Linked DNA regions of Callithrix jacchus. The main gene of each other region encodes a partner of the protein of the gene in region 3 in a complex. Links are inferred from orthologs where the notes say so. Each region holds a gene or a part of one and is shown on either strand. Other genes may lie near its edges.

The links.
Region 1: MED26 (region 3) and MED18 share a complex: the UniProt entries of both Homo sapiens proteins name them as parts of the mediator complex. The link is inferred for Callithrix jacchus from reciprocal best matches to the Homo sapiens genes MED26 and MED18.
Region 2: MED26 (region 3) and mediator of RNA polymerase II transcription subunit 24 share a complex: the UniProt entries of both Homo sapiens proteins name them as parts of the mediator complex. The link is inferred for Callithrix jacchus from reciprocal best matches to the Homo sapiens genes MED26 and MED24.
Region 4: MED26 (region 3) and MED7 share a complex: the UniProt entries of both Homo sapiens proteins name them as parts of the mediator complex. The link is inferred for Callithrix jacchus from reciprocal best matches to the Homo sapiens genes MED26 and MED7.
Region 5: MED26 (region 3) and MED13 share a complex: the UniProt entries of both Homo sapiens proteins name them as parts of the mediator complex. The link is inferred for Callithrix jacchus from reciprocal best matches to the Homo sapiens genes MED26 and MED13.
Region 6: MED26 (region 3) and CCNC share a complex: the UniProt entries of both Homo sapiens proteins name them as parts of the mediator complex. The link is inferred for Callithrix jacchus from reciprocal best matches to the Homo sapiens genes MED26 and CCNC.
Region 7: MED26 (region 3) and MED25 share a complex: the UniProt entries of both Homo sapiens proteins name them as parts of the mediator complex. The link is inferred for Callithrix jacchus from reciprocal best matches to the Homo sapiens genes MED26 and MED25.

Annotation. Positions count from the first base shown.
Region 1 is NC_133508.1:65,000,296-65,004,546, reverse strand, and holds the start of MED18 (mediator of RNA polymerase II transcription subunit 18), read right to left. Parts: upstream 2,863-4,251; 5' UTR 2,796-2,862; exon of another isoform or gene 2,740-2,795; intron 1,642-2,739; 5' UTR 1,581-1,641; coding exon 1,508-1,580; intron 1-1,507. UniProt on the Homo sapiens protein: Component of the Mediator complex, a coactivator involved in the regulated transcription of nearly all RNA polymerase II-dependent genes.
Region 2 is NC_133506.1:72,262,585-72,266,878, forward strand, and holds the start of mediator of RNA polymerase II transcription subunit 24, read left to right. Parts: upstream 1-1,438; 5' UTR 1,439-1,780; intron 1,781-4,264; 5' UTR 4,265-4,294. Other genes in the region: uncharacterized protein LOC108590274, read right to left, coding at 33-465. UniProt on the Homo sapiens protein: Component of the Mediator complex, a coactivator involved in the regulated transcription of nearly all RNA polymerase II-dependent genes.
Region 3 is NC_133523.1:15,245,147-15,249,437, reverse strand, and holds the start of MED26 (mediator of RNA polymerase II transcription subunit 26), read left to right. Parts: upstream 1-1,490; 5' UTR 1,491-1,752; coding exon 1,753-1,824; intron 1,825-4,291. UniProt on the Homo sapiens protein: Component of the Mediator complex, a coactivator involved in the regulated transcription of nearly all RNA polymerase II-dependent genes.
Region 4 is NC_133503.1:19,917,933-19,922,313, forward strand, and holds the start of MED7 (mediator of RNA polymerase II transcription subunit 7), read right to left. Parts: upstream 2,889-4,381; 5' UTR 2,844-2,888; intron 1-2,843. Other genes in the region: GARIN3 (Golgi-associated RAB2 interactor protein 3), read right to left, coding at 3,104-4,264. UniProt on the Homo sapiens protein: Component of the Mediator complex, a coactivator involved in the regulated transcription of nearly all RNA polymerase II-dependent genes.
Region 5 is NC_133506.1:94,817,942-94,821,543, reverse strand, and holds part of MED13 (mediator of RNA polymerase II transcription subunit 13), read right to left. Parts: intron 1,538-3,602; coding exon 1,416-1,537; intron 1-1,415. UniProt on the Homo sapiens protein: Component of the Mediator complex, a coactivator involved in the regulated transcription of nearly all RNA polymerase II-dependent genes.
Region 6 is NC_133505.1:105,600,983-105,604,584, forward strand, and holds part of CCNC (cyclin-C), read right to left. Parts: intron 2,909-3,602; coding exon 2,824-2,908; intron 2,662-2,823; coding exon 2,592-2,661; intron 2,426-2,591; exon of another isoform or gene 2,342-2,425; coding exon of another isoform or gene 2,288-2,341; intron 1-2,287. UniProt on the Homo sapiens protein: Component of the Mediator complex, a coactivator involved in regulated gene transcription of nearly all RNA polymerase II-dependent genes.
Region 7 is NC_133523.1:43,593,209-43,597,549, reverse strand, and holds the start of MED25 (mediator of RNA polymerase II transcription subunit 25), read right to left. Parts: upstream 2,886-4,341; 5' UTR 2,833-2,885; coding exon 2,699-2,832; exon of another isoform or gene 2,604-2,698; coding exon 2,558-2,603; intron 1,826-2,557; coding exon 1,701-1,825; intron 1-1,700. UniProt on the Homo sapiens protein: Component of the Mediator complex, a coactivator involved in the regulated transcription of nearly all RNA polymerase II-dependent genes.

The DNA.
Region 1 (4,251 bases), on a different chromosome or scaffold from region 3:
ACTAAATGCTGTCCTGGGGGCACTGTGCTAGGCTCTGCCCTTGTGGACATTACAGTTTAGTAGTGGAAACAAGAAATAAATAAGTAAGGCTGAGTGCAGTGACTCATGCCTGCAATTCGAGCACACTGGGGATGCTGAGGTGGGAGGAATCATGTGAGTTCAGGAGTTCGAGACTAGCCTGGGCAACATAGTGAGACTTCATCTCTACTAAAAATAAAAAATAATAATTAGCTGGGCGTGGTAGCATGGGCCTGTAATCCCAGCTACTGAGGAGGCGGATGCGGTGGGATTGATTGCTTGAGTCTAGGAGGTTGAGGCTGCAGTGTGCTGTGACTGCACCACTACATTTCAGCCTGGGTGAGAGAGCAAGACTCTGTCTCCACATAACCAAACAAGTAAATGAAAACAAGGAAATAAAAGAGAATCAGATGGAGAGGAACTGGAGGGGACAAAGGGGAGGAAACTACTCTGAGATGTTGGAGTGGTCAGAGGACTCTCTAAGGGGATGACAGATGAGCTAAGACCCTACGATGAAAATGAAATGGTTAGCTGGGCGTGGTGGCTCATGCCTGGAATCTCAGCACTTTGGGAGGCCGAGGAATGCGGGTCACAAGGTCAAGAGATGGAGACCATTCTAGCCAACACAGTGAAACCCCATCTCTATTAAAAATATAAAAATTAGCCAGGCATGGTGGTGCACACTGTAGTCCCAGCTACTTGGGAGGCAGAGGCAGGAGAATTGCTTGAACCTGGGAGATGGAGGTTTGCAGTCAGCCTGGGCAAAAGAGTGAAGAATCCATCTAAAAAAAAAAATCAGAGAAACACGACCTAGAAAGATAGTTGCTAAGGGATAGTTACAGGGGAGTGGGAATCAGTGTTTAATGGATACAGAGTTGCAGTTTTACAGGATGAAAAACTATTTTAGGTTGGGCACAGTGGCTCATGCCTATAATCCCAGCACTTTGGGAGGCCAAGGTAAGTTGATCACTTGAGTCCAAGAGTTCAAGACCAGTCTGGCCAACATGACAAAACCTCAACTCTCTACTAAAAAATACAAAAATTAGGTGGGCATGGTGATGCACACTTGTAATCCCAACTATTCGGAGGCCTGAGATGTAAGAATCCCTGGAACCCAGGAAGTGGAGGTTGCAGTGAGCCAATATTGTGCCACTGCATTCCAGCCTGGGTGACAGATCGAGACTCTGTCTCAAAGGAAAAAAAGTTCTATTAAGTATTTTTTCAAGCTATTCACAATAAACACGAGTTCTAAAGATCTGTTGCTTAACAATGTTAATATACTTCACACTACTGAACTGTACACTTAAATATGTTATGATGACAAATTTAATATGTTTAATGCATATAAAACTATAATATGAAGTAACAATTAAAAACATAGCTGATTGCCAGAAACTGTGCAGGCTGCTTTTGTGTTAAGTCTCTCATCTTCACGGAAGCTGAACAGAGAAGAGGAAAACAGGTAATCCAAGTTCCCTGGTTCACTTACCCTGCAGCAGGTACTCCATCATGTTAATGGTGCCCCCAGTGACAGGCATCATGGTGACTGGAGGTGCCTCCATGGTGTCTAAGTTGAAGACAACACAACTCAGAATGCCCAGTCAGGTAAGGCATGAGATATACCTGAAAAAGAATTCACTTGTTTATACATCAGAGTGGTGGAGAAAGACCAGATCTGTTGTGGCACTAGCCTTCAAATCAAAAGATTCATTCATTCAAAAACGTCTGAGTATCTCCTTATATGGCCAGTTCCAGGAACTGATAATACAGAAATATAAAAGGGAGATCTAATCATGGAGTTATACCATAACCTTCTAGTCTCAAGTTCTGAAACTTCCAAGTTACCTGTGCAATCTTGAGAAAGTCCTACAACCCCTCACCCTGGGACTCAATGTATTCCTTATAAAATAAGGCCAATTTTTTTTTTTTGAGATGGAGTTTCACTCTTGTTATCCAGGCTGGAGTGCAATGGGGTGATCTCTGTTCACTGCAGCCTCCGCCTCCAGGATTCAAGCGATTCTCCTGCCTCAGCCTCCCGAGTAGCTGGGATTACAGGCATGTGCCACCACGCCCGCCCGGCTTTTTCTGTATTTTTAGTAGAGATGGGGTTTTGCCATGTTGGCCAGGTTGGTCTTGAACTCCTTGGCCTCAGGTGAGTCTCAGGTGATCCGGCCTCCCAAAGAGCTGGGATTACAGGCATGAGCCACCGCGTCCAGCCGAGGCCAGTATTTTTTAATTTCGGAGGCTATGTGGCTCTAATGACATAATAAAGAGGAAACAAAATTCAGAGGAACTGAAAAGTGACTTAAGGGCCCTTAATTTTATAGATGAGGATACTGAGACTCGGAGAGGGGCAGAAGGATACACAGAGCAAGTTGGTGGCAGAGTTTGGACCAAACTAGAATCTAGGCATTCCATCTCTCTAAAAATGCCTTCCCCTCTCCCTTTTTGTTTTTTGGAGACAGGATCTCGATCTGCAGCACAGGCTGGAGTGCAATGGGGAGTTCCCAGTTCACTACAGCCTCGAACTCCTGGGCTCAAGCGATCCTCAGCCTCCCGATCTACCTCCCAAGTAGCTAGACTACAGGCGGGAGAGCCACTGCGGCTGGCCTGAAAATGCCTTTTAAAGAGAGCCAAGAGAAAGTTATTTTAAGATGATGGTGTATAGGTCCCTTTAAGCCGCATCCAGAACACGTGTCCATTTAAACACTAGAAACACACCTCCTTGAGGCTCTAGCTTCTTCTCAGGAAGCCGGGAATTATATTCACCCGCGCACCTAGGCGCCTTTGAGCGACGATTAGATTCCAGCCCTCCGGTTAACCGAGCCCCGGAAGCCCTTAGACGGAAGCAACCAGCCAACTTCCTCCTCTTTTCACCTCCGATCGGAAGCCGAAGTCTCACAAACCTCGAAACTGCCGTTCCGGAACGTAAGGGTGCCGAGAAGGCCAAAGAGCTTCATTGCGGACAGACAACCAAAAACGCATGCGCGAAATCCCGGGCTGCTGTAAGAAAGATGGCGCCCTCCTTTGGAGCATTCCTCCGGGAGCTACCTGAAGCCTTGATGTCACAGGCCTTCCTCTAGGAAAATATTTTTAGGTTTGACAACCTGGAGATGTACTTGTGTAGAAAGTCTCTTGGAACTGTTAAGACTTACAGAGATTATCATGAACTTAAAAAAAAAAACAAAAACTGGGCTGGTCCGAAGGTAGTGAGTTATCTCAATTGATTGTTCACAGTTACACAGATCGAACTCCTTGTTCTACTCTTTCCCCCCTTCTCACTACTGCACTTGACTAGAAAAAAGAAAAATAAAATTAAATTAAATTAAAAACACACACACACACACACACAAACTGAGGGGTTAGGCATGGTGGCTCATGCCTGTAACTCTAGCACTTAGGGAGGCCAAAGTGGGCGGGTCACTTGAGTTCAGGAGTTCAAGACCAGCCTAGCCAACATGGTGAAACCCCGTCTCCACTAAAAATACACTAAAAAACCGGGCATGGTGGCGCATGCCTGTACTTTCAGCTACTGGGGAGGCTGAGGTGGGAGAATCACTTTAACCCGGGAAGCGGAGGTTGCAGCAAACCTACATTTCACCACTTGCACTATAGCCTGGATGATAGAGAGAGACTGTATCCAAAAAAAAAAAAAAAAAGAAAAAGAAAAAGAAAAAAAGAAAGTAAAGGAATAAAGAATGGCTACCCCCATAGGCAGAGCAGGCGAGTGGAAAAGGTGTAGGCCTAGATCCAGGAGTACTCTGCATGCCAAACTAAAGAATAGATGTGGCCAGGCACGGTGGCTCACGCCTGTAATCTCAGCACTTTGGGAGGCCAAAGCGGGCAGATCACAAGGTCAGGAGTTCAAGACCAGCCTGACCAACATGGTGAAACCCCGTCTCTACTAAAAATACAAAAATTAGCTGGGCATGGTGGGGCATGCCTATAATCCCAGCTACATAGGAGGCTGAGGCAGGAGAATTGTTTGAACCCAGGAGGCGGAGGTTGCTGTGAGCTGAGATCGCGCCACTGTACTCCAGCCTGGGTGACACAGCGAGACTCCGTCTCAATTTAAAAAAAAAAAGAATAGATGTGAGCTTTAAAGGAACTCTGATTGCAATGTCGAGAAAAGTTTGGGAAAGGAGAGCCTGGAGAAAAAAGATCAGGCCGGGCTCAGGTGGCTCAGACCTGTAATTCCAGCACTTTGGGAGGCAAGGTGGGCAGATGGCTTGA
Region 2 (4,294 bases), on a different chromosome or scaffold from region 3:
ATATTAATGCCCCCTCGCTCCCTCCTCCTTACCTCGGCGTGGCGCGCTGGACCGGGCTGGGCAGCGACGCGGGGGTCTCAGCGCCCAGTGCCGTGGGCGTCCATGGGGGGCCGGTGGGGCCCGGGCCGCCCGCCTCCTGCGCCCGGGTGTGAGTGCGAGTGAACGCGGGGGGGGACGGGGGGCGAGTGTGGCGGCCCCGCGGCTCCTCCGGCAGAGGCGGCGGCCGCTCTGGCTCCTCCCTCCCCCGCCCCGCTCCGGCTGGGGCTCGGGCTCCGCGCGCCCGGCCGGCTCGCGGCTGCTCCCTGCAGGCCGCCTCGCCACCGCCCGCCCCCGCCCCCCGCCCCCTGCCGCGCCCCGGGACCCCCGCCAGCGGCCCGGCAGCCCCTCGGCCGCCCCTGCCCCGCCCCGCTCGGACTCGCCCTCCCCCGCCGGGCGGCTCCCGCAGGAGTGGGTACTTGGTGACATATTTTGGAAGAGATGTCATTAAAAAATAGCCTTTGCTTGCCGGGAGAATTGGGGGTTTTCGGGTTTGCACCATGGGGTGGGGGAGGAAGTACCGAGGAGCCGCCTGCACCTTACACATGAGGAGAAAGCCTAAACACCAAACGCTTGCAGGTGTAGAGTTTGTTTAGGAGTTCGGGTCCCTTCTCCGCCAGTAACTCACTGTGTGACCTTGACAAATCACCACTGCTGTCGGGGCAGAGCTTCCTCAAGCTTCAGCCGCGAAGGCTGGGCAGATCACCCCTGACGTCCTTTTAACTTCAATCATCCTGTGTTTTTAATCCTTGTGTGGGCTCAGTACCTCCCTCCCCTCTCATTTCTAACATCGATACCGATCCACTGCCTCCCCTTTCCAACATCACCCTTCTCCATATAGGCTCTTTCTATTCTCTGTCACCAGCCATTTCCCCAACAATCTGCTCCCTCTCCTCAGCTCGGGGAGGGGACAAGATTTGCCTTACCCCCTCAATTCCTAGCTCCTGGGTGGTGGTATTTCCCCCCGTGTTTGTTCCCACCAAAATCCAAATGGTACCAGAGTCAATCTAAGGAAGCCGGTGGGCTGCATACAAATGGACCCCCTAACCCAACCCAAAGGAGAGGTTTCCACTGTGCCAGCCCCACCCCCAGCACACATACACACACACACAACACACACACACACGCATCTGCAATTCATGGACATAAAACCAACCCAGTGACGCCAGAGCCCCTTTCATCTCGGGATCTCCCAGTTCCAGGCCAAGCCCTAATTACCCCAGCACGCCCCTGGCCCCGCCGGTTCCCCTGCTGTCATTAGCCCAGTTTTACCAGTGGGGGCCACAGCCTTCCCACGGCTCTCAGGGTGGGGCCCTGCTACACAGTCTGCTCTTGGAGAGGGGTGTGTGTTTGTGTGTGAGCGTGTGTGTCAGGGGGAGCTGCTCAGCTCCTGGCCCAGGTTATACTGGATAGAATCACTTGCCGAGTGTGGGATCCTGACCCACAGCTTATCCAAGCTGGGCTGCCCTTGCTCATGTCTCAGTCTCAGCCTCCTGCATCCTCAGTGCTGTTGGAGCCACTTCTTTCACAGGGGATACTGGAGTTTGTAATGCTTGGCGGAGGGGAGGGTACCTCTCTGGGGGTCCCTGGAACCATGGAGATGAGAAAAGCAGCTGGGATGAAATCTATGGCATACAGAGTGCAGCGGTGGTGTTGAGGGCATGCCATAGGTGAAGGGAGCCTGTGAGGTGCAGTGGCAGCTAGAAGGGGGAGTTGAGGCAGCAGCGTGCAGAGTCTCCACGCGGTAAGCGAACCTGTGTTCAGTCTGGGCTCACGGGAGACAAGCAACAGCTGCAGTGTGGGGCAGGAGGCTGCAGCGTGCAGAGTCAGTGCAGTGAGCAGAATGAGGTGCACTGAGGGTGGCTGCCTGCCGGTGGGTGCCACCTCCTCGGTGATGAGGTTTGGCCGAAACCCTGGGGTGCACGGCTACAGTGTATAGTGCTTGGGGTCTGTGCTCTACCCTGTGTGGAACTAGTCCGTTGGGATTGGGCTGCTTAAGGAGCTGGGAGGGAATCCTGATGCATGAGATACATTTATACTCTGCGTCACAAAGACAGAACTAGGAGGCAGTGGGGAGGGCCAGCAGTCATGTGGATTGGGGCTGGAGTGATGGAGTCCAGAGGCGGAGGAGGAAGGTGCTGTGGTTTTGTCTCCCTTCCATCCTGGCTTTCCCCACCATATCTCTCTTTGATGCAAGGCCCTATAATATTGTGTGGGGAAGACTTTCTGAAATCCTAGATCCAAAGCCATATAAAATGATGTGCCTTCTGATTCCCTTTTTTTTTCCTGAAGGGCAGAGTAGGGCACTCAAAGACAAGGGTTTACCATTTCCATCTTCTCCCCCACTCCTTTTTTTTTTTTTTTTTGAAATGGAGTTTTTCTCTTGTTGCCCAGGCTGGAGTGCAATGCTGTGATCTTGGTTCACTGCAACCTTCGCCTCCCGGGTTAGGGCAATTCTCCCGCCTCAGCATCCCTGTAGCTGGGACTACAGGCATGTGCCACCATGCCAGCTAATTCTGTATTTTTTTTTAGTAGAGACAGGGTTTCTCCATGTTGGGGGCTGGTCTCGAACTACTGACCTCAGGTTATCCATCCGCCTTGGTCTCCCAAAGTGCTGGGATTACAAGTGTGAGCCACCATGCCCAGCCCCCATCTTCTCCTTTAAAAAATTTATTATTATTATTATTATTAGAGACAGAGTCTTCCTCTTTTGCCCAGGCTTGGGTGCAGTGGCACAGTCTTGGCTCACTGCAACCTCCGCCTCCTGAGTTCAAGGGATTTTCATTTCCCACCCTCCCAAGTAGCTAGGATTGTAGGCATGTGTTAGCATACCCAGCTAATTGGTTTTTATTTTTTTATTTTTTGGTAGAGAAGGTATTTCACCATGTTGGCCAGGCTGGTCTTGAACTCCTGGCCTCAAGTGATCCTCCTGCCTTGGCCTCCTAAAGTGCTGGGATTACAGGCGCGAGCCACCATGCCGGCCACCCCTATCTTCTCTTTACCTCTCTCTCTTTCCTGGGCTCCCATTATGTACTGGTGACAGATCTGGGCAGGACAAAGTGAAGGGCACACTGCCTTCAAAGCAGGCCTCTGCCCAGGTGCCAGGATCCAGCCCAGGTCTGGGCTTAGAACCCCTGTCCCTGTATTGCATCCTCTGTCTTCCCAGCCCACTCACCCTGCCCACCCATTTCTTGAAGCTGCTAGCTCTTCTTAGATTCAGTTCATCCTCGGCTCCGGCTCTGTCCTTGTCATGAAACCCCCCATCAGGGCTGTCCCCTCCCATTCTCCATCTCTGCTTCAGCGCATTCCCCGAATCTATCAGAAGGGTAGGGGTGGCATGAATAAGGATGGATAGACTCTCCAAGGGGATATGTCTGATGGCCCCTGCAGCTGAGATTTCCGTTGCCAAGGAGGTAGCAGAAACAGCCTGTTCTCTGGGCTCCCATCAGAACAGCCATGCCCAGGCCCCTCCCTTCCTTCCAGACTATTGCTAGGAAGCACCCCAAGATTTCTTGAGGATACGACCTCTAGGAAACAAGGTAACCAGATATCTTTCTGAAGAGGTTTTTTTTTCAAAGTCTGGCAGCTAAGACCCCACATAGCATCTTCTACCCCTGCCCAGAAGGCTTACACATCTCTAGCAGTTTGGGGAAACAGGAGACAGTCCCCTCTACCAGCCACCCTGGAACAAGCTCTGTGGCCTGGCCTCAGTAATTCCCCTCCTCTAGGTCAGCCTTGACCTCCTGGGCCTAGGTCAGCAAGTGATGGCACGTCCAGCATATACCTCTAGACTCTGCAGATAGAGCTGAACTTACTGGGGGTGCTCTGGAAAGACAGCAGAGGAAACTGAGGCTCCACCAGCTAAGAGAACTCAAAGCTCAGATGTTTCTCCCTCTGAGGGATTTCCCAATCAAGAAGAGTGGTGGAAATGGAGGAAAGAAAGTTGGAGAGCAGACTGGGCAAGGTGGCTCACATTACCAGTACTTTGGGAGGCTGAGGTGGTAGGATCTCTTCAGGTCAGGAGTTCAAGACCAGCCTGGGCAACATAATGAGACCCCCCCCCATCTTAAAAAAAAAAAACTCACAAATGATCTGGGTGTGGTGGCGTGCACTGCACCTTCAGTCCTGGCTACTTGGGAGGCTGAGGCAGGTGAGAGATTGGGAAATTAGCAAATAATTACCCTGGTAAGAGAAAGTGACCATTTAATTTTCCCTTTTGTCCCATCAGGTGCCCTTGCTATGGGTCACAAAAGAGGGA
Region 3 (4,291 bases):
AGTTTCCAACTTGGACCATGTACACCACGTACACCCAGCACCACATTCTGGGAGGGGCGGGGGTGGGAGCAGTAAATGACGAGTGTTTTTGCCCGTGTTGCTTTTCTCCTCCCAAGTGTGATGTAAAACTTTTCACATGTGCAGAAGCACGCTACCATAGCCACGTGCAGAAGCAGCCGTTTTTGCAAATGAAAATATTTCCCAGAAGCATAACAAATACAAGACTAACAGGTGTCGGGCAGATCCAAGGCACACATGTGGTTCTCATCAGCCGTCTTCCTCCTGTTTTAAATCTAGGTCTTCCTGTAACCGCGGGAAAAAAAAAGATTTTTCCCGAGGCCGCCGAGCTTGCCTTTCCACCCCGTCTCACAAAGCATTTCCAACAGAGCTCCCAGAGAGAGGGGAGCAATTACAGAAGGCAGTAAATAGGGTGGAGGTAGGAAGGGCCCCCTTAAACTTGACATCTGCTGTTCTGGGCTTAACCCCGAAGTCTGGGTGACCTTGAGCCTCAGTTTCCTCTTGTGTGACATGTTTGGTTCCGAGAATGAGGGTCTCAGTTTTACAGCATCTCCAAGCAGAGGTGGGTGGAAGGGTCTTTCAATCACGGGGTTCTCCGCCGGTGAGGGGGGGCGGGGAGACTGTGGCCCCCAGGGAACGGCGGCAATGACTGCAGACTGGGGGAGGGGGCGATCGGGTGGCCAGAGATGCCGCTCTACTTCCGACAGATCGGAGAGCCCGCCCCGACGACAGAGGGATCCCGCCCAAATACCAGTGGTGCCGAAGTGGAGAAGCCGCGGTAGAGATGCAGGTTTGCAACCTCCGGCTTTCCGGCGTTCCCAGCTAGTGGGGCGGCTCCTGCCAGAAGCGCTTTGCTGCTTCACGTTTCCGCGATGGGGGTCGCACGTGGCTATGCAGACCCCCCCCCGCCCCGCCACACCCACTCCCACACCCTCTGAGGGGCGGAGGTGGCCGCGGCGACATCCCCGAGCCCCTCCGATGACCCTTCGGGACGCAGAATCACAACGTGAACGTCTGGTTCCCTCGCCCCCTCAAAAAACTCGACAGCTGCTAAGCCTGCAACTCCCGTACCCCAGTCACGCGCCAGGAAGGGTCTCCCCAAGAAAGGATTCTCCCATCGCCCTCCCCGCCCTGAGGTAGCCGCCGCGAGCGTCAGGGTTCAAGGACTCTTCGCGCGCGCGCTTCCGTCGGAAAGCCCCGCCCCGTGACCCGGGCTGGGGCGGGGCCTCCAGGCAGTGACCGTTGCCCCGCCCAACCTCCTCCCAACGGCTGCCTTGGCTGGGCGGTGGGGCGGGGCGGCACGGGCGGGCGAATGCGCCTGCGTGCGCATGCGCGCTGGTGAGGGGCGTGGACCACGGGCTGCCCCGCCCAGGTTTGGCGTCTCCTCCAGCCCCATCTCCCAACCTCCTCAGCGTGGCGCCGACGCTGCGTGCGGCGCTGACTACCCAGAGTACTCCGCGCGGGGGCAGCTCACTGGAGTTTGGTTCTCGAGGCGGCGGCAGCGAGCGGCGGCGGCTCCGGCAGCTCCTCCTCCTCCTTCGGTGGCGGCGGCGGCCCGGGACCGAGACCCGGCCCCGGCTCCCCTCTCCGCCACCCCGCGCGCCCCCAACTCCCCCGGCGCCGCGGGGAACATGCGGCTCCGGCTCCCGGAGGCCGGCGAGTGAGTGACCCCCGTCCCCCGCCTCAGCCCGCCCGCCCGCTGGCCCGGCCGCAACCCCCCGCCTCGCCCAGGCAATGACAGCGGCTCCGGCGTCTCCGCAGCAGATCAGGGACCGGCTGCTGCAGGCCATCGACCCCCAGAGCAACGTAAGTACCGGCCGCGCGAGCTGGGACGGAGGCCGCATGGGCCCGGGACCCTCCCCCTCTCCTGTCCCTTTCGCCCAAAGGGCTTCAGGGGACCCGTCTGGCGCCCACCTCCCTTCAAGGGCCGCTGCCATCCCTGCCTTTCGCTCCTCGGGCCCGTGCCGGGGGCAAGTTGGGCAGCCCGGCAACGCTCTGTACGTGAGGCCGAGGCTTCCGTGCGGCCTGGGCGGAGGAAGCAGACAGGAGACTGAGGCTAGAGCTTTTCCCCCCTTTCTACTCCAGCTCTACGACCCTGACTGCTCTGGACGAAGCCCCCCTGCCTCGCCCTCCCTCCGGGACCCGAGACCCCCGGGAAGCCCTCCTGGAGCGGGGGAGGGGAGGGAGAAGGTCTGTGAAGCAACTGGTGTCCGGGGTATGACTCGGGGAACCTGTGTCTCTCATTTCTCGGCCTTCTGGGCGATCAGGGAAGTCCTTGTTCCCTCTCCTCCCGGCCGGCAGCACCTACCCGGCTTCGCACAGAACCCCCAGTCTGTTTTGCCCCTGGCGGGGTAACCAGGGTACGTGGAGAGTCTGTCTCTGTTCTGTGACTGGACACGCCTTTGCCAAAAACCCTCCTGGGGTCGCTGCCGACGACAGATGATCGCGGGGAGGGTGGGATCCTTCCTGTTGCCTTTCTGGGCCTAAGTACTCATTGCGTCTCTGACCAAGCCAGAGCTCCATTTTTTGGCTAGTGAATTAAAGAGGACTGTTTCCTCTCCGTTTACCCAAAACCCGTGTTTCAGTCAGCTCTTTCCCTCACGTGGGGAGTCTCGGCTCGGTGGTTTGTGACCCAGACTGTCAGGGTTAACTCTAGGGTGTCGCTTCCTCAGGTGCCCCTTTGCTGGGGCTACTGTTTTTAGAGGGACCACCCCCTCCCCCCTCCGTGTGTGTGTGTGTGTGTGTGTGTGTTGGGGGGGTGGGAAGACTGATCTATTCTCATATTTTCTCTAAGTGTTTCTTGGCAGTAGGGGTCATTCTTCTGGCGGCAGGAGCAGGGCGGTGGGAAGATGTGGTAGCATCCAGGTATGAAGTAAGGGCCTGGGAGACCAGGAAGTGGCCATTGAGATCACTTTTTAATATGCTGTGAATGGAAGAAAAAAATCATCTTTGGCTTGGCCAGGTAACTCAGGTTTCTCTTCCCATGGGGGTTTTTGCTTTTATTTTTACATGAGCTTGGCTGATTACTCTTAGCAGTATGCTTAACTCTGATGATGTTTTTGGAATAATTCACATTGGCTTAAACAATTTTGGGTAAAGACTGAAGGGTTATGAGTTTTTTCTAAGGCTCTGGTTGCTGTGACATAAGTACCGCTCTTATCCCTGGTAATCAGGTCCCATTAAAATTGATTGTAATTGTGTTTAACAAATTTTGTGTTATACATTTTTGTCATGACTTTGGGGGTGGAGTGGACACAAGCTATATAAAACCTTCTAGAATGTCCTTTTTGCAGTAACTGGTGCCACTGCAATTTTAAAGACTGAAATATTAGAGGATAAAACAGGTGACATGAAAAAAATAGCATTGGTGACTTGTGCATCTTTTGTGGAGTCAGAAGGTAATTTTTTTTTAATCTCACGTGCTCGCTTCCCTTCGGGAGAGTCGGAGAGGTTGCTGAGATATTAGCATTGATCCTTAATGCCACCTCAGAGAGCTTTGGGATCAGGCAGTGTTGTAGATTAGGCCACCCCAGTGACCTCAGGGGTTCCACTGTTGTGTAAGGCTCTAATCTAGAGGGTTCCTTGAGGCAGAAGAGAGAAAGGAGGAGGGAAGGCACCTTCATTTTGTATGTCTTAGCATATGCAGAAATGTTATGTAGGTAGGTCCCTGGTTATGTTACCTGGTGTGGAATTTACCTGATGATAATGGGCAGAGTCCTACTAACATGGAGTGCATGGATTTGGGAAATTATCTCTTTGACTATGAGCAGTGAGGAAAGTGCCTCCTTTGTGAGTGACCCTCTGGGCGCTGTTATGGGCCATTTGACAGGACCATTCGATAGGACCATTCGGTTTGAGCAAACACCATGCAGAAACCCAGAGCCGCAGTGGACAGGGTTGCTGGCAGAGGTGGTGGTGAGGGCCAGGCATGTCAGTATGTCTGCAGTTTCTCTCAGATCAGTGTGGGTTCAGGTGAGAGCAGGTGGCTCCAGCACAGGCACTGCTGGCCCGCTGTCTCCTCTCTGGCCTGCGCAATGATGGACTCCACTATTGGATATTTAGTTGACACATATTTAGGATCCTCATGGAAAGAAAAAAAAACGGGGACAGTGTTGAAGAGCCAACACTAAAATTAAACCTCTTCTGAGAGAAGCGGCAGAGAATTGTGTCATGTAATGCTTACCTTTATGCAATTATGGTTAACAAACTTAGCTGTTGCTTGCAAGATCAGTGTCAGGAGCTGACCTAATATCCACAAGTATCTGGAAAGTTG
Region 4 (4,381 bases), on a different chromosome or scaffold from region 3:
TATATTGCTTTTGGCAAAATATCCGTTTGTCATCTTTGTGCTTATGTGTGTAACGCCAGACTTTAAGTTTGGAACATTGGTTAGTAATCAGCCATCTACTCTCATTACACTTGCAGCGGCAGAATTGCTACCATGGTGACAAATATTGCTGTTAAAAACATTGTCTTTTATCTGATAGGGGTATTGACTTGATGCCCCAGTTGACATCTCCCTCTGAGGAAGAGACCTGTTGCTTTGAAATACATATTTATGCATCTTTCTCTTGATGAAGTATCAAGATAGAAAAGGAATTGCAGCAAAGTACGTGGCAGAGCATGCTGTGGTGGGCAAGTCCCCGCCTCTACTTTACTTAAGTTGCATTTGTGTACATTGGAGGTCTGCTCAGCTAACACCCTGCATGGTGGATGAACTATGTTCATGCTGTACAGGATGGAGAGAGTGCACCCTCCCCTTCAGACGGGGGAGGGTGCATAAAACAAGACTAGAAGGAAAACAAAAGATAAAGCCATGGTCTACACAATTATGAGATTAAGCCATTTGTAGCTAGGATAATTCAGACTCTGGCATAGCTGTAAGTCTGGAACTCCAGACCAAAGGCTTTGACAGGAGTTCCGCTTTATCTCTCTCCTCTACCCCACCTGCCAACCTGTCACACTCCTGTGTGGCTTTCCCAAAGGCCCTCTCAGACTTCTGAGTGTGTGCCTCTCTCTCTCCATCTAACTGTATCCACTGTTTCAAGAGTCGACTCCCAGAACATCTTAATCTCAGGTTCTATGGTCTTTATTGAAAGCCACAAGGTGAGATTTTCCAGCCGCCCACCAGAGCAACTGAGAAGGGATTCCCCTGATACTGACAGGCCACTACTCCTCCCAGAATACCTTGCTTCTCACCTCCTCCATCTGCACTACACATATTTGGTCTTCAGAGAAAGTCCCTAAGTTTTGCCAGAAACTCAACTTCTGTCCTCCAAGGTACTGCTGCAGAGAATGAGCAAAGACTCAAAAGGCTGAGCAGTTGCTCCCCTCCTGGACTTACATGAACACACATGGCTCCCAGAATCATTTTTCTCAAATTGAATTTTTATTATCTGATGTTAATACTGTAATGTTTTTCATGGATTCATTTTACAGGTTTTTTTTTTTTTAATGGAAAGACAATTTTTTTTACAATAAAACTTTTTAAAATTTACAATCCCGTTTCTAGGGATTAACTTCCACATGAACACATAATTTACATCATGTTAGTACACAGCATTTTGGACTATTTTATTTCTTAATACATTTAAACATTTTCCATGTTTCTATATTCTGAATATTTTTATGTTACTTAGAATTTTTGTTTCGTACCTATTGAAAGATGTCTTTCAGAGTTAGATTTTTTTTGTCATAAATCTCTCTTGTGTGGGTGTAAAAAGGAAAACATTGGTGAAATAAATTGGATAGGGCGTTTCTAAGGCAGTGACATACAATTGACACTTTGCTGGAAGTGATTTAAAAACAATCCTGATTTCAGAGATGTTAAAATAAAGACACAATAACAAACCTCCATGAATACACCCTCTTGTTTAAGAAATGGAATAATCATGATTCTGTTGAAGCTGTTTGTGTGTGCCTCCCAGATCAGACATCTCTCCCTTTACCCTTTCTCTTCTTTCCTTTTTTTATCCATATCCTGAATTTTGTGATTATCATTTCCTTGTTTTTCTCTATACTTTAAGCAAATATATATCCCATAGTTGAATCTTATTTTTGAACTGTTCTACAAATTGAACTATATCATATATATTTTTGTGACTTGCTTTTAGTATCCCATATTATGTGAGATTTATCCATGCTAGCTGGGCACAGTAGCTCATGCCTGTAATCCCAGCACTTTGGGAGGCCAAGGAGGGTGGACTGCTTGAGGTCAGGAATTTGAGACCAGCCTGGTCAACATGGCAAAACCCTGTCTCTACTAAAAATACACAAAATTAGTTGGGCATGGTGGCACATGCCTGTAATCCCAGCTACTTGGAAGCTGAGGCACTAGAATTGCTGGACCCTGGGTGGCCAAGATTACTGTGAATCAAGATCACCTCACTGCACTTCAGCCTGGGTGACAAACTGAGACTCTATCTCAAAAAAAAAAAACAAAAAAAATGTATCCTTTCTAATAGCCGCTATTCATTTACACTGTTGTAGATTATGCACTGTAGTTTATTTCATAGCTTATTAATTCTCCTGTTTGATGAACACTTGAGGATTTCCAGGGTTTTGCTATTACAATTTGTTTTACTATAAACATTCTCCTAGTTGTCTACTGGCAAGCATATGTGAGAATTTCTCCACTGTCTACACCTAGGAGGAAGACTTGTTAAGACTAGATCAAGAGTCAGCACATTTTCTGTGAAGGCCCAGATAATATTTTAGACTCTGCAGGCCATATGGTCTCCATTGCAACTACTCATATCTGTCATTTTAGCGTGAAAGCAGCCATAGACAATATGCAAAGGAATGGCTGTGGCTATGTTCCAGTAAAATTTTATTTACAAATCCAAGCAGCTGGCAAGATTTGGACCTCAGAATATGGTTTGCCAATTCCTGATCTAGATGCATAGATTTCCTATTCTAATTGCCTACAAATGCTGCTGCACTGCTCCTTCCTCCCCTGAATACCCTCTGAGGGGATGTGAATCCTGTCTCTGCCTAGTCTATGGACTGGACTGAATGTCCATGTTCAGGAGCATTCAGGGAAGAGAATGGGCATGGGGACGTGGTGGTGGTGCATCCAGCTCTTAATCTGTGACTTTGACAGTCTAGGGGAAGCAAAGGCAGAAAGGGGTTGAGGCAAAGCAAAACACTCACATTGGCTCTGCTGGGCCTGGGTGGGTGGTAGGGCTCTACCTGCCTGGAGGCTGGGGTCTCAGGCTGTAATGTGGTCACCATCACAGAAGCCACTGTGAAGTCACTGCCAGGCTATGGGGCAGAAAAAATTCAAACAGGAGATTTTATTTATTTAGGGGTTGTATGATTTCCTTTATTATTTAAACTGCAGTAAAGAAAGCTGGGATGGGCTCTCTAGGGATACTTCCCAGATCCCTGGGAGTTGTAGCCCTGGCTCCTATTTAAATGGATTTGGTTTCAAAGATGGTCATCTCCATCATCTTGGATGTCACAGTGCCACTGATCACCTCCAGCTCCTGGGCTTTCTCCACTTTGGCCTCTATGTTTTGCTTCTCCGCCATCTTAGCCACGATGTCTACCTCTCTGTCGTGTGATGTGACCCTTGTTTTTGAACCAGCAGTAGCCCTGAGGCTCCTTAAAAAAGACATGATTTTACTGGGTTTCTTACTTAAAGCTCCTGTACTAGATGTGGATCGGTTCTTCCCCAGTTTGTGAGTTGTTCTCGACTCCTTTTTGGTGGAACTGTGGCTGGAGCTCTTGCGAGAGGAGCCACGTCCCTTGCCCCTTACCTTGCTGCGCCCTTGTTCTTTTTTGTCATCTCTCGTGTTTTTATGGCCGGATATAGACCGGTGGGAGGATGCTTTCTGGGTCTCGTCTCCTGCTGTCCTGCGGTGACTTTCACCTGCCTTGCGGTGATGGGAACTTTTCCTACTGGGACGTTTGTCCTTCTTTTTTCTTCTTTCCTTTTTTTCATTCCAGGCTTCAGCACTGGGCTGGGAAAGCTTCTGGCTTCCATTCCGTTCACTCATGTAGCCTTCGCTTTGCAAGGTGGACACGAGGGGTCCCAATGCTGGTCCTTGAGTTCTTTCTGCCACACACTTGCCTGTCGTCATACTGCCTGCAAATGCCATACTCAAGCTGCTGTCTTGGGAGAGATGGGCGGCCCCCGCCATCGTGGTGGAAGAAGTACCTGCCAAGGAGGTGCTTGCAACACCCACCAAGGCCAAGTTCATACTATCTGAGGATATGTTGGCAGCACCTGCCATGGACTTGCTGGATTCATTTTCTCCCGGATTTTTGATGGCTGCTCCCGCCAGCGCTGTGGTCACCTGGCCTGGGCCTGCAGGTTTGCTTGCTGCTATGCTCACAGCGCCTGTTGCAGGACTCATTGCTGTGCCTGCTATTGCCACACCTGCTCTGGGGCCTGTTGTTCCTGCCATGCCACCTGCTGTCCTTGCTGCTGCTCCTTCAGCAGCCATTCCATGGGAGGCATGTTGGATTCCTTCTCCCCCAGCATAAGCAGAAGAGGTGACTGCAGATACATCACAAGACTTGTGAAGCCCAGTCTCACTCTGATCCCCTTTTCTGTGGAGCTCTGCAGCCTGTACCAAGGGGAGGAGAAACAGGTGAGATAGAGATGACTGAAAGAGAGTTCAGAACTGTGTGCTGCTCTCTTATCCTGGAGTGGAACAATTCAAGGCTTTATGATTAGAAGAACC
Region 5 (3,602 bases), on a different chromosome or scaffold from region 3:
TTCAGCATGGGCAACAGAGTGAGACTCTTGTCTCAAAATAAAATAAAATAAATAAAAATAAGAAAACCTGCAATAAGAAGGAGTTGTAATTAACATTAGAAATGCTTCTTAGTAAAAGATACTTGCAAAGCATTTGTCTCCTTAAGTTGAATACATTAAGGTTTGTGTTTTTCCTATATATTCAATCACCCACTTCTCTGAACTCTTATTTATACTTTTACCTTGTTTTAATAATCTCCTTACTCCTATAAAAATACTGTAACAGGTAAAACTAAGTACAAACTTCAGAAGATCTAATGACAAAGCAATAGTTTTCCTAACTTTTAGTACATTGAACAAACAAGCTTTACTATTTCCAAGCTATTACCAATGTTTTCAGAGCTAACATTTGTTCCATGTCTTCTGTTAGACAGTTTGTGATAAATATTACTATGCAGACCACATTCTGACTACAACCTTTTTATCTTAGAGGAACCACAGCTGATACATGAATGGTAGTAGATAGTATGAATGTGTCAAAACATTCAAGGATATATTTGCCTAGTGAAGGGTGTTCTAAAATGTACTACACTATGGGATATATAGTAAAAGTTTATGTATCTGATATATATATATGTATATGTATGTATATGTGTGTGTATATGTGTACATATACACATATACACACACATATACATACATATACATATATAGATATATATGCTGAGAGGAATAAATGCATATTATATAGGAAAAGAAAGACCAAATGTACCATAGAAGTTTCCAAGCTACCTTTATGCAGATGAAAAGGAATTCCCTTTTATGATAATGCAGCACCCAATTCATTAATTTGCCAGAGACTTGACATTCTAGGGAATCTCATTTTAAGCTTTAATTTCTTTTATCTTCACCTTTCTCTGCAAATGGGTGTTAAAGATCAAATATTACTTTTTCTTCCTCTTTCATTGCTATATCATGTATCTGTCTTATAATAATAGCTGTGATGTCAAACAAATTCAAAAGAACTGGTATTCCTTAATAAATTGACAAAGCAAATAACTTTAATGTCAATTATTTATGTGTTCTCTGAATGAGTAAATTCCAGGGTCATTTCTCAAACTACAGAATCAAATAGGAAAATAATTCTGCTTCCTAAAACTGCAAAATAGAACATACAGCAGAGCTCAAATTAAGGTTAATCATGTGTTTCCCAAATGTAAAAACAAAAGGAGAAACAAAAATCTCAAAGTTTATAGGTGACACTATGGCAAGACTACTCAAACATGAGATTAAAAAAGAAACCAATGAGACTTTACTATGAAATATTTCTCATTGTTCAGGGCTAAATCATAGTATTAAACTCATAAATCACTTCTAAAGAATAAAAAATATGTACATAAAATCAATATATTCCTATTTATTAATGAGATACTCACTGTTAGTTCATCTTCATCAGAATTGAAGAGATTATCAAGATCAGTATAAGAGACAGCCAGGTCTGAGTCATAAATCAAACTTGTTGATGGAGGACGGGCATGACTAGTAGGGCGTGGAGCATCTACAAAAGTCAATCAGAAAAATAAAACTGCTACTACTGATCAAATAAGTATTATTCTGTTTAAATTAGACATGTAACTTTAAGTTCATAGGGTACTATGCAACAAGAAACTGTAATTTATTATTTAAAATCTAGAAAGTGTTTTTAATAGAAAAAATGTTATAAAGGTATAAGGGGTTTATACCTTTTCCAGGAAGCTCACTAGAAGGTCAAGTAATCCATAAAATAGCTAAGTACTCTACATGAATAATTAATATATTAAATAAAAATATAAATTCTATTTAGGAAAAGTGAATTAAATACACACACATATTTGTAGTTTTTTTTGAGATGGTGTCTCACTCTGTTACCACCAGGCTGGAATGCAGTGGCACAATCACACCTCACCGCAGCCTTGACCTCTCGGGCTCAAGCAATCCTCCCATCTCAGACTCCCCAGTAGATGAGACTAGGCATGAGACACCATAACCAGTTAATTTTTTTTTCTCGAGTTGGGGTTCTGCCATGTTGCCCAAACGGGTCTTGAGCTCCTGGGCTCAAGCAATCTGCCTGCCTCTGCTTCCCAAAGTGCTGGGATTACAGGTGTGAGCCACCTCACCCAGCCTGTATTTTTCTCTTTCTGAAATGTAAAGGAAGAACAGAACAATGATTAAGAGGTAACTCTTGGGCCAGACTTTAATTTGAATCCCAGCTCCACTACTAACAGTATGACCCTCGACAACTTACTTAACCTCTCTGTGCCTCAATACCAAGAACTGAATTAAATGTAATAGAATATAGGTTAATATGCTTTGCCCATTGCTAGGTGCTTAAGTACTAGATAAATATTACCTCTTAGTTACTGTACTACAATTTTATTTTCCTTCCCTCCCGCCCCATTTTAGGGGAACAAATACATAATCCCAATTCCAATGAAAATTAAACTCCCAATATATTCCTGCACAAGAAAAACAATTTGATACATAACTGTCCAAATCATTCTGTCAACTGACTTGAGATAATCCTCGTTTTCAGAAAGAGAAAAGTCACTTTCCCAGTGCCTCTGTGTGTCAGTTCTAAAGATCCACTAGAGCTGCAGCTTTGAAATTTTAAGTAAAAATCCATCTAGGATACTTATTAAAAACCAAAATTTTGAAGCTCCATCTCAGGGATACTCCAGAATGTAGTATATGTTTCACATTTTGAGAAAGCTGTACCGCAGGCACAAGAAGTGGCTTACATGTTTCCTATATCCCAGGGAATACCCTAGGATAAGGAGGCCAAATAACCCAATTTGTTTCTGAGGTTTTTTTTTAATGTATGTATTATAAAATGGCTCAATCAAGCTACTTAACATATTCATTATCTCATATACAGGTACTTATTTTTCTGTGAAAACACTTAAATTCTACTCTCAATTATCAAATATACAAAGTATTATTAATTGTAGTAACCAGAATTTACAATAGATCTCTTGAACTTATTCCTCCCAATGAAATTTTGTCCACTTTGGCCATCTCCCCAATACCCCAACTCCTAGTCTCTGGTAATCACCACTTTACTTTCTACTTCCATGAGTCCAATTTTTTTAGATTCCACATGAAAGTGAGATCATACAGTATTTATCTTTCTGTGCCTGGCTTATTTCATGTAGCATAATGTCCTCCAGCTTCATCCACGTTATCACAAATAGCAGAATTCCCTTCTCTTTTTAAGGCCAAACAGTATTTCACTGGTGTATATATACCACATTTTTAAAATCTAGTCACCCACTGATGGGACACTTAGGTTGATTTCGTATCTTGGCTACTAAGAATAATACTGCAATGAACATGGAAATGCAGATACCAGTATTAACATACTGACTTCACATTCTCTTGATATATGTCCAGTAGCAGGACTGCTAGATCATATGCAGTTCTATTTTCTGAAGAATCTCCATACTGTTTTCCATGATGGCTGTACAACATTTACTTTTCTCCCAACAGTGAACAAAGATTCCCATTTCTCTACATTCTTACCAACACAGCTTTCCTCTTTTTGATAACAGCCATTATAACAGGCATGAGGTGATATCTCATTGTGG
Region 6 (3,602 bases), on a different chromosome or scaffold from region 3:
ACCAATGGAACAAAACAGAGGCACCGGAGGCAACACAACATACATACAACTATACAATCTTTGATAAACCTGACAAAAACAAGCAATGGGGCAAGGATTCCCTGTTTAACAAATGGTGTTGGGAAAACTGGCTAGCCATGTGCAGAAAGCAGAAACTGGACCCCTTCCTGACACCTTACACTAAAATTAACTCCAGATGGATTAAAGACTTAAACATAAGACCTGGCACCATAAAAACCCTAGAAGGAAATCTAGGCAAAACTATCCAGGACATAGGAGTAGGCAAGGACTTCATGAACAAAACACCAAGAGCATTGGCAACAAAAGCCAAAATAGACAAATGGGACCTAATCAAACTCCACAGCTTCTGCACGGCAAAAGAAACAGTCACTAGAGTGGATCGGCAACCAACAGAATGGGAAAAAATTTTCGCAGTCTACCCATCTGACAAAGGGCTGATATCCAGAATTTACAAACAACTCAAGCAGATTTACAGGAAAAAAACAAACAAGCCCATTCAAAAGTGGGCAAAGGATATGAACAGATACTTTACGAAAGAAGACATATATGAGGCCAACAATCATATGAAAAAATGCTCATCGTCACTGGTCATCAGAGAGATGCAAATCAAAACCACACTGAGATACCATCTCACGCCAGTTAGAATGGCGATCATTAAAAAATCTGGAGACAACAGATGCTGGAGAGGATGTGGAGAAAAAGGAACACTTTTACACTGTTGGTGGGAGTGTAAATTAGTTCAACCATTGTGGAAGACAGTGTGGCGATTCCTCAAGGCCTTAGAAATAGAAATTCCATTTGACCCAGCAATCCCATTACTGGGTATATATCCAAAAGACTATAAATCGTTCTACTATAAGGACACATGTACACGAATGTTCATTGCAGCACTGTTTACAATAGCAAAGACCTGGAATCAACCCAAATGCCCATTGATAATAGACTGGATTGGAAAAATGTGGCACATATACACCATGGAATATTATGCAGCAATCAGAAATGATGAGTTCGTGTCGTTTGTAGGGACATGGATGAATCTGGAAAACATCATCCTCAGCAAACTGACACAAGAACAGAAAATGAAACACCGCATATTCTCACTCATAGGTGGGTAATGAAAAATGAGAACACATGGACACAGAAAGGGGAGTACTAAACACTGGGGTCTATTGGGGGGAAAAGGGGAGGGCCAGTGGGAGGGGGAGGTGGGGAGGGATAGCCTGGGGAGAAATGCCAAATGTGGGTGAAGGGGAGAAGAAAAGCAAAGCACACTGCCATGTGTGTACCTACGCAACTGTCTTGCATGCTCTGCTCATGTACCCCAAAACCTATAATCCAATAAAAAAAAAAAAAAAAAAAAAAAAAAAAAAAAAGACACTTAAAATTATTACACGGTAATACTTAAGTAAAATCAAATATTACACAGTAGAATTATTAGAATTAGAAAAATCAATCCATAATAAAAACCTTTAATAAATACTTTCTTTTCCATTAAAGAACTTAACAAAAACAAAGCTGGTTCTGCCTTAACTACCACTCACAATTAGAAAACATAATCTTCTAGAAAGCTTGTCTTAATATTATTTCTAACAGAGGCAACTGTCATTATTTAGGTAAACATTGGGGAAGATGTCATGGATAATCTTAAATCATGGCAAAAACAAAACTAAATCAAAGTGGGTACCAAAAGGAATGTAAACTTACTAGGTAAAAATCACATTCAATATCCAAGAATAAAACTACCACTCTAAGACATTATCCAAAAATAGAAATATAATGCAAAGATTTTACACCACAAAAACTACATTAATTATTTATGGAAAACAGTCAATATCTGCTTTTATTTTCTGGATTTTAGCTGAGCTGTTTCAAAAATGTGACAAAGGCAAAAGAAACTGAACAGAAATTCAGTCTCTGCTGCAAGTTCCTATCTATCTTCTCTCCCTTACCTAATTTCTCTACTCTCACAACCCAAACTTTTACTTGTTAGAATCTATACAGCTATAGCGTCCCCTAATCCTTGCCTTCCTTGTGGCTTGGTAGGCAGCCAATCATCAGAATGATAGGAGGGAAGATAGGAGAAGATAAGGACATGGGTGAGAAGGAAGAGGGACATTCTCAGGTTATGGCAGGCAAGCTATGGGTACTTACTGAATAATACTTAGTGCCAAACAAGAAATGTCTCAAAGGCAGCAAAGGAAAGTAGTTAAGAACACAGGATTGGTAATGAGACTCCCATGGTTCAAACACGGGCTCTGACACTTACCAGCTGTATAATCTTAAGCAAGTTCTTCATCTCTCTCTGTCTCAGTTTCCTCATTTATAAAATGGGAATACTACTACTATGTATTCCAGTTTGTTACGAAGATTAAGTCAGTTGGTACACAGTAAGTGCTGTATATGTCTGTTAAGTGAATATATAAGGATATGTATATATTTCTTTGACTTTGTACAATTTTAGTATTTTGCATAAATTACCATTAATTGTATATAGGCAATGTGAAAACTGGGGCAGATTAACCAACATACATTAACTACACTTTGATGAAGAACAAAAAATCATTTTATACCTCTACTTTGGATGCCAAAAACACACATGTAGGAGCCATTAATACAGGATCTATACTTTTCAGAGAATACCTAAAATATGATAAAGCAAAGTTAATTATCATTCATATAGAAAGCACACTGGGAAAAAAAAATCAAGATAACTCTATGGCAGACACATGATTCATTTACACTGTGCTAAGGTTCATCCATATTAGATAAGAGTTCAAATAAATAAAATAAAAATAATCCTACCTGGCATAGAATCTCTTGAAATATACTGTAGCAGTGGCAATAACTTGTTGTCTTAATTTAAGATGTTCACCTAATGCCTGGATAACTAAAGGGAAAATAATGATATTTTAAATGTATCTTCTGGGATCATTATAATATTAACATTGAACAGTAACTTCCATGTGGTTAAATCATAATTATATTAATTTTTAACAAAGGAAAAAACATGTGCATGCTCTATATGAGCCACAGTGGTCTAATACAAGGATTTGTAAATGTGTTAAGAAATAAATAGGAGTGCATAAACGACAACAACAAAATAGAAATTGCCCCACAGCAAAATATTATTCATGCATTAAGGAAGTTGAGTAAGTATTTTCCCTCTATCTTCTAAATATTTTTAATGCCTTTCATATTATCTTTATAATAAATATAAAAAGAAAATATTAGATGCCTATGAAACTTGTTAATACTACCACTTTTTTTGTTGTTTTGAGACAGATATTCTGTTGCCCAGGCTGGACTGCAGTGGTACGATCTTGGCTCACTGCAACCTCTACCTCCCGGGTTCAAGTGACTCTTGTGCCTCACCATGCCCAGCTAATTTTTGTATCTTTAGTAGAGAGGGGTTTTACTATGTTGGCCGGGCTGGTCTTGTATCCCCTGGCCTCAAGTGGTCTGTCCATCTATGAATCCCGAAGTGCTAAGATTACAGGTGTGAGCCACCACACCCAGCTAATACTACCACTTTATACAGTTCACCAAGAAAAAAAAAAATCCATAATAAATCCTCAAAACAG
Region 7 (4,341 bases), about 28 Mb from region 3:
TTAATTAGACAGGTATATGGCCAGGCACGATAGCTCATGCCTGTAATCCCAGTGCTTTTGAGAGGCCAAGGCAGGTGGATCACCTGAGGTCACGAGTTCAAGACCAGCCTGGCCAACAAGGTAAAACCCCGTCCCTACTAAAAATACAAAAAATTAGGCAGGCGTGGTGGCAGGTGCCTGTAATCCCAGCTACTCGGGAGGCTGAGGCAGGAGAATCACTTGAACCCAGGAATCAGAGGTTGTGGTGAGCCAAGACTGTGCCACGGCACTCCAGGCTGGGCAACAGAGCAAGACTCCATCTCAAAAAAAAAAAATTAGCCAGGTGTACTGGCACGTGTCTATAGTCCCTGCTACTCCAGCTACTCAGGAAGTTGAGGCGTGAGTATCACTTGAGCTTGAGCCCAGGAGGTCGAGGCTGCAGTGAGTCGTGACTGAGCCACTGGACTCCAGCCTGGGTGACAGAGTGAGACCCTTCCTCAAAAACAGAAGAGCCCTGGGGGCTTCCTCTTTGCGCTCTCTATTGGCTCACTCAATCTGAGGAATGGCTGTAGCCATGTTACAACAGTCAAGCTCCGTGCAGAGGTCTCGCGGTCAACAGCCACCGTCAGCCACCCTGGGAGGGGCCTCCCCACCACCAGTCAAACCCTTGGATGGCTGCAACCCTGCCGACCTCTTGACACCCTCAAGAGGTGCCTTGTGACACCCTCAGCCGAACCATTCAGCTAAGTCACTCTTGTGTCCCTGACTCAGAAACTGCGTTAGATAATGGACGCTTGCAGTATGAAGCTGTTAGGTTTGGCGGTGACCTGTATGCAGCTAAGAGTAAGTACTAAAACACAAGTACTACCCGCATCCTGCTTCAGAGGCGAGAGGCTAGGCACAGTGGGGACAGGGCTCCTGGGTCTGAGAGTTAGTTCGGTGCTGGAAGAGCCAGGATTTGACCCCAGGCTGCCTGACTCCAGAGTCTGCAACATCAACTATCAAAATCTGATCCGATGCCAGGCATGGTGGCTCCCGCCTGTAATCCCAGCACTTTGGGAGGCTGAGGCAGGCAGATCACGTGAGGTCAGAAGCTTCAGACCAGCCTGGCCAACAGGACGAAACCCTGTCTCTACCAAAAGTAAAATTAAAAAAAAAAGTAGGTGTGCATAGTGATGGGTGCCTGTAATCCCAGCTATTTGGGAGGCTGAGGCAGGAGAATTTCTTGAACCTGGGAGGTACAGGTTGCAGTGAGCTGAGACTGGGCCACCACACTCCAGCCTAGGTGACAGAGCAAGACTCTGTCTCAAAAAAAAAAAAAAAAAACAATCCGACCCAAGCCACAGAGGGATGTATCCTGGCTCTGACCCATCCCTCTGCACTGAGGCTACAATGTACCCATCTGGAAGAGGAGAACAAGGGCAGATGGAAAAAGAGAGGACAGAAAGGGGACAATCACACATTCAGTACAAGGTGGCTGCTGGAGCTCAGTCAGGCCTCCCTGAACGGGAAGTTTTTCATGCTTCTAAACCGGATGGCAACATTGCTGAGCACACAGAACCCACCACAGAAGTGACTCTTGACAAAAACACAATGACCCTCACAGCCCTTTCAATCGCCTAATGTAAAGGGATGGTTCTTGAAGCTTAAACCCAAACCACCTCTCATTCACAGTCCCTCACAGGGTCCCCCAACCCAGCCCAAGTGGAGAAAAAGCTCACTTAATGCCATCCAGCCAGGTGACAAACTCATAGGCGCTGCTGGTGGGAGCGTGACACTGTACGTAGGACTCAGGAGCGCAGTCCACCGTGTTGAACACCACGAGGCTGTACTGGGTCCCCCCATACTGGGAGGTGGGGACAGAGGAACTTTTAATCTGGGACCTCAATTCCCTTTTCCCTCAGAGAAGGAATCAGGGCTCCCAGCTTCCTGTTCTTCCAGAATCAGGAACTCCTCAGCTTCCTCCTTCCTCAGACCCAGAAGTCCAGGCCCAGCCCCTCCTCCCTCACATACAGGGGTCAAGTCCCAGCCCCTCCGCCTTCAGACCCAAGAATCCAAACCCCCAGTCCCTCCTCCCTCAGATCCAGAAATACAGGTCCCCAGCCACTCCTCTCTCAAATTCCGGAGTCCAGGCCCAGCTCCTCCCCACTCAGACCCAGGAGTCCAGACCCCCCGACCTCCTCCTCCCTCAGACCCCGAAGTCCAGACCCCAACCTCCTCCTCCCTTAGACCAGGAGTCCAGGCCCCCAGCCCCTCCTCACTCGGACTCGGGAGTCTGGACCGCAGCACCTCCACCCTCAGACCCAGGGGTACCGGCCCAAGTGCTTCTACCCTCAGACCCAAAAGTCCAGGCCCCTAGCCCCTCCTCCCTCAGACCCAGGAGTCCAGACCCTGACCTCCTCCTCCCTCAGACCCGGGAGTCCAGGCCCCCAGTACCTCCTCCCTCACACCCGGGAGTCCAGACCCCGACCTCCTCCCTCAGACCCGGGAATCCAGGCCCCCAGCCCCTCCTCCCTCACACCCGGGAATCCAGGCCCCCAGCCCCTCCTCCCTCAGACCCAGGAGTCCCAAGACTCACGTCACCCCCGAAGTCCGTCTCAGCAGGAGGACCACCATTAAAATACCTGTGAGGGTCGGAGGTGAAAGGTCGGAGTCAGGCCAGAAGCTGTGGGAAACTCTAGTGGGAGGGCGGGGTTCGAGTCGCGGAAACGGCACTCACTCGATGGCCGGGAGCAGGTAGTGCTTGCGGAGCCCTTCGAAGTAGGGTCCCAGGTTGGCCGTACCCTCAATCACAAACACCACGTCGGCCACGAGGCCCCCGGCGCGGGCCGGGCCCTCGGACCCGGGGACCATACCCCGCGCGGAGGCCGCCACCGCCACTGCCGCCGCAGCCGACACCGCGGAATGAGGGGAAATGCGCCTGCGCTGCGCGCGCACCCGCGCCGGGCGGTTGAGGGCTGCTGGGAACGCACGGGCGGCCATATTTGTGCGGGGCACAGGTTGAGGCTTCGATCTAGCTCCATCCTCCTTCGCCCTAACCCGTGGAAGACTCAGCAAGGACATAGTTAGCCCTTTTGGGGGGCCTGATGGGTTAGACAAAATCATTGTCAGGATTGTCAAGAACGAAATAAGTTGAAGGCGGCACAGTCGGCTGCCATCTTTGAGCGGGGCGTCTGGGCCCGCCTATTAGCTCAATGGGAGGGGCAGGAGACCTGGTTGCTATGCAACACTAACGCTGCCCTTGTTTTCGTTTTCCTTTATCCTTTCCCCCCCCCCCCCCCCCCACGAGACGGACTCTCACTCTGTCGCCCACCCTGGAGGGGAACGGCGCGATCTCGGCTTACTACAAGCTCCGCCTCAGCCTCAGCCTCCCCAGGAGCTGGGATTACAGATGCCCACCACCATGCCCCGCTAATTTTTGTATTTTTCGTAGAGACGGAGTTTCACCATGTTGACCAGGCTGTCTCGAACTCCTGACCTCAAGTGATTCGCCAGCCTTGGATTCCTAAAGTGCTGGGATTACAGGCGTGAGCCACTGCGCCCGGCCCGCTGCCCTTGTTTTCTAACCATGAGATTAAGTTTCTGGTTCTGTTCTTTCGTGCGCGGGGACTGGGGGGAGGGACGCGAGAAGGGTCCAATCGCAATGGCGGAAACGAGGTTACTAGGCAACGCTTTAAGGTTGCCCTTAACTTGGAAGGGAGGATAGTAGTTTTCCTCCTGAAAAGAAGCTGAACACGAACCCAAGTGCAAGGGTTACTAAGCAACACCTGAGCGTTGTTTTCCGGGCGAGGAGCCAGAAACTAGCCTAGAACATAAATACATTCCAGGTGGATTAAGAACATAAGTGCAACAAATAAAACACGAAAATAGCTGAAGGAAAAAAATCCTAATGACTGCCATGAAGTTTCTCAGCAAAGTCAGAATACGTAAAATATTAATTTGTCCGCAAAAGATTGCATAAAGCAAGTTGAAACATATACCACGAACTGGAAAAATCTAGCGTGTTTGTTGACAGAAATGTACTACACAAATCTTACCGATGAATAACAGTATAGAAAAATAGAAACACTTCATTGTTTTTTTTTAAATTTTATTTTTTGAGACAGGGTCTCTGTTGTGCAGGCTGGAGTGCAGTGGCCATTGCAATCTTGGCTCATTGCAGCCTCTATTTCTCACACTGAAGCCACTGTCCTGCCTCTGCAGCAGCTAGGACCACAGCCACGCACCACCACTCCTGACTAATTTTTAATTTTTTTGTAGAGGTGGGGTCTCGCTATGTTGCCCTGGCCTGTTTCAAACTCTTGGGTTGAAGCGATACTCCCGCCTTGGCCTCCCAAAGAGCTGGGATTACAGGCGTGAGCC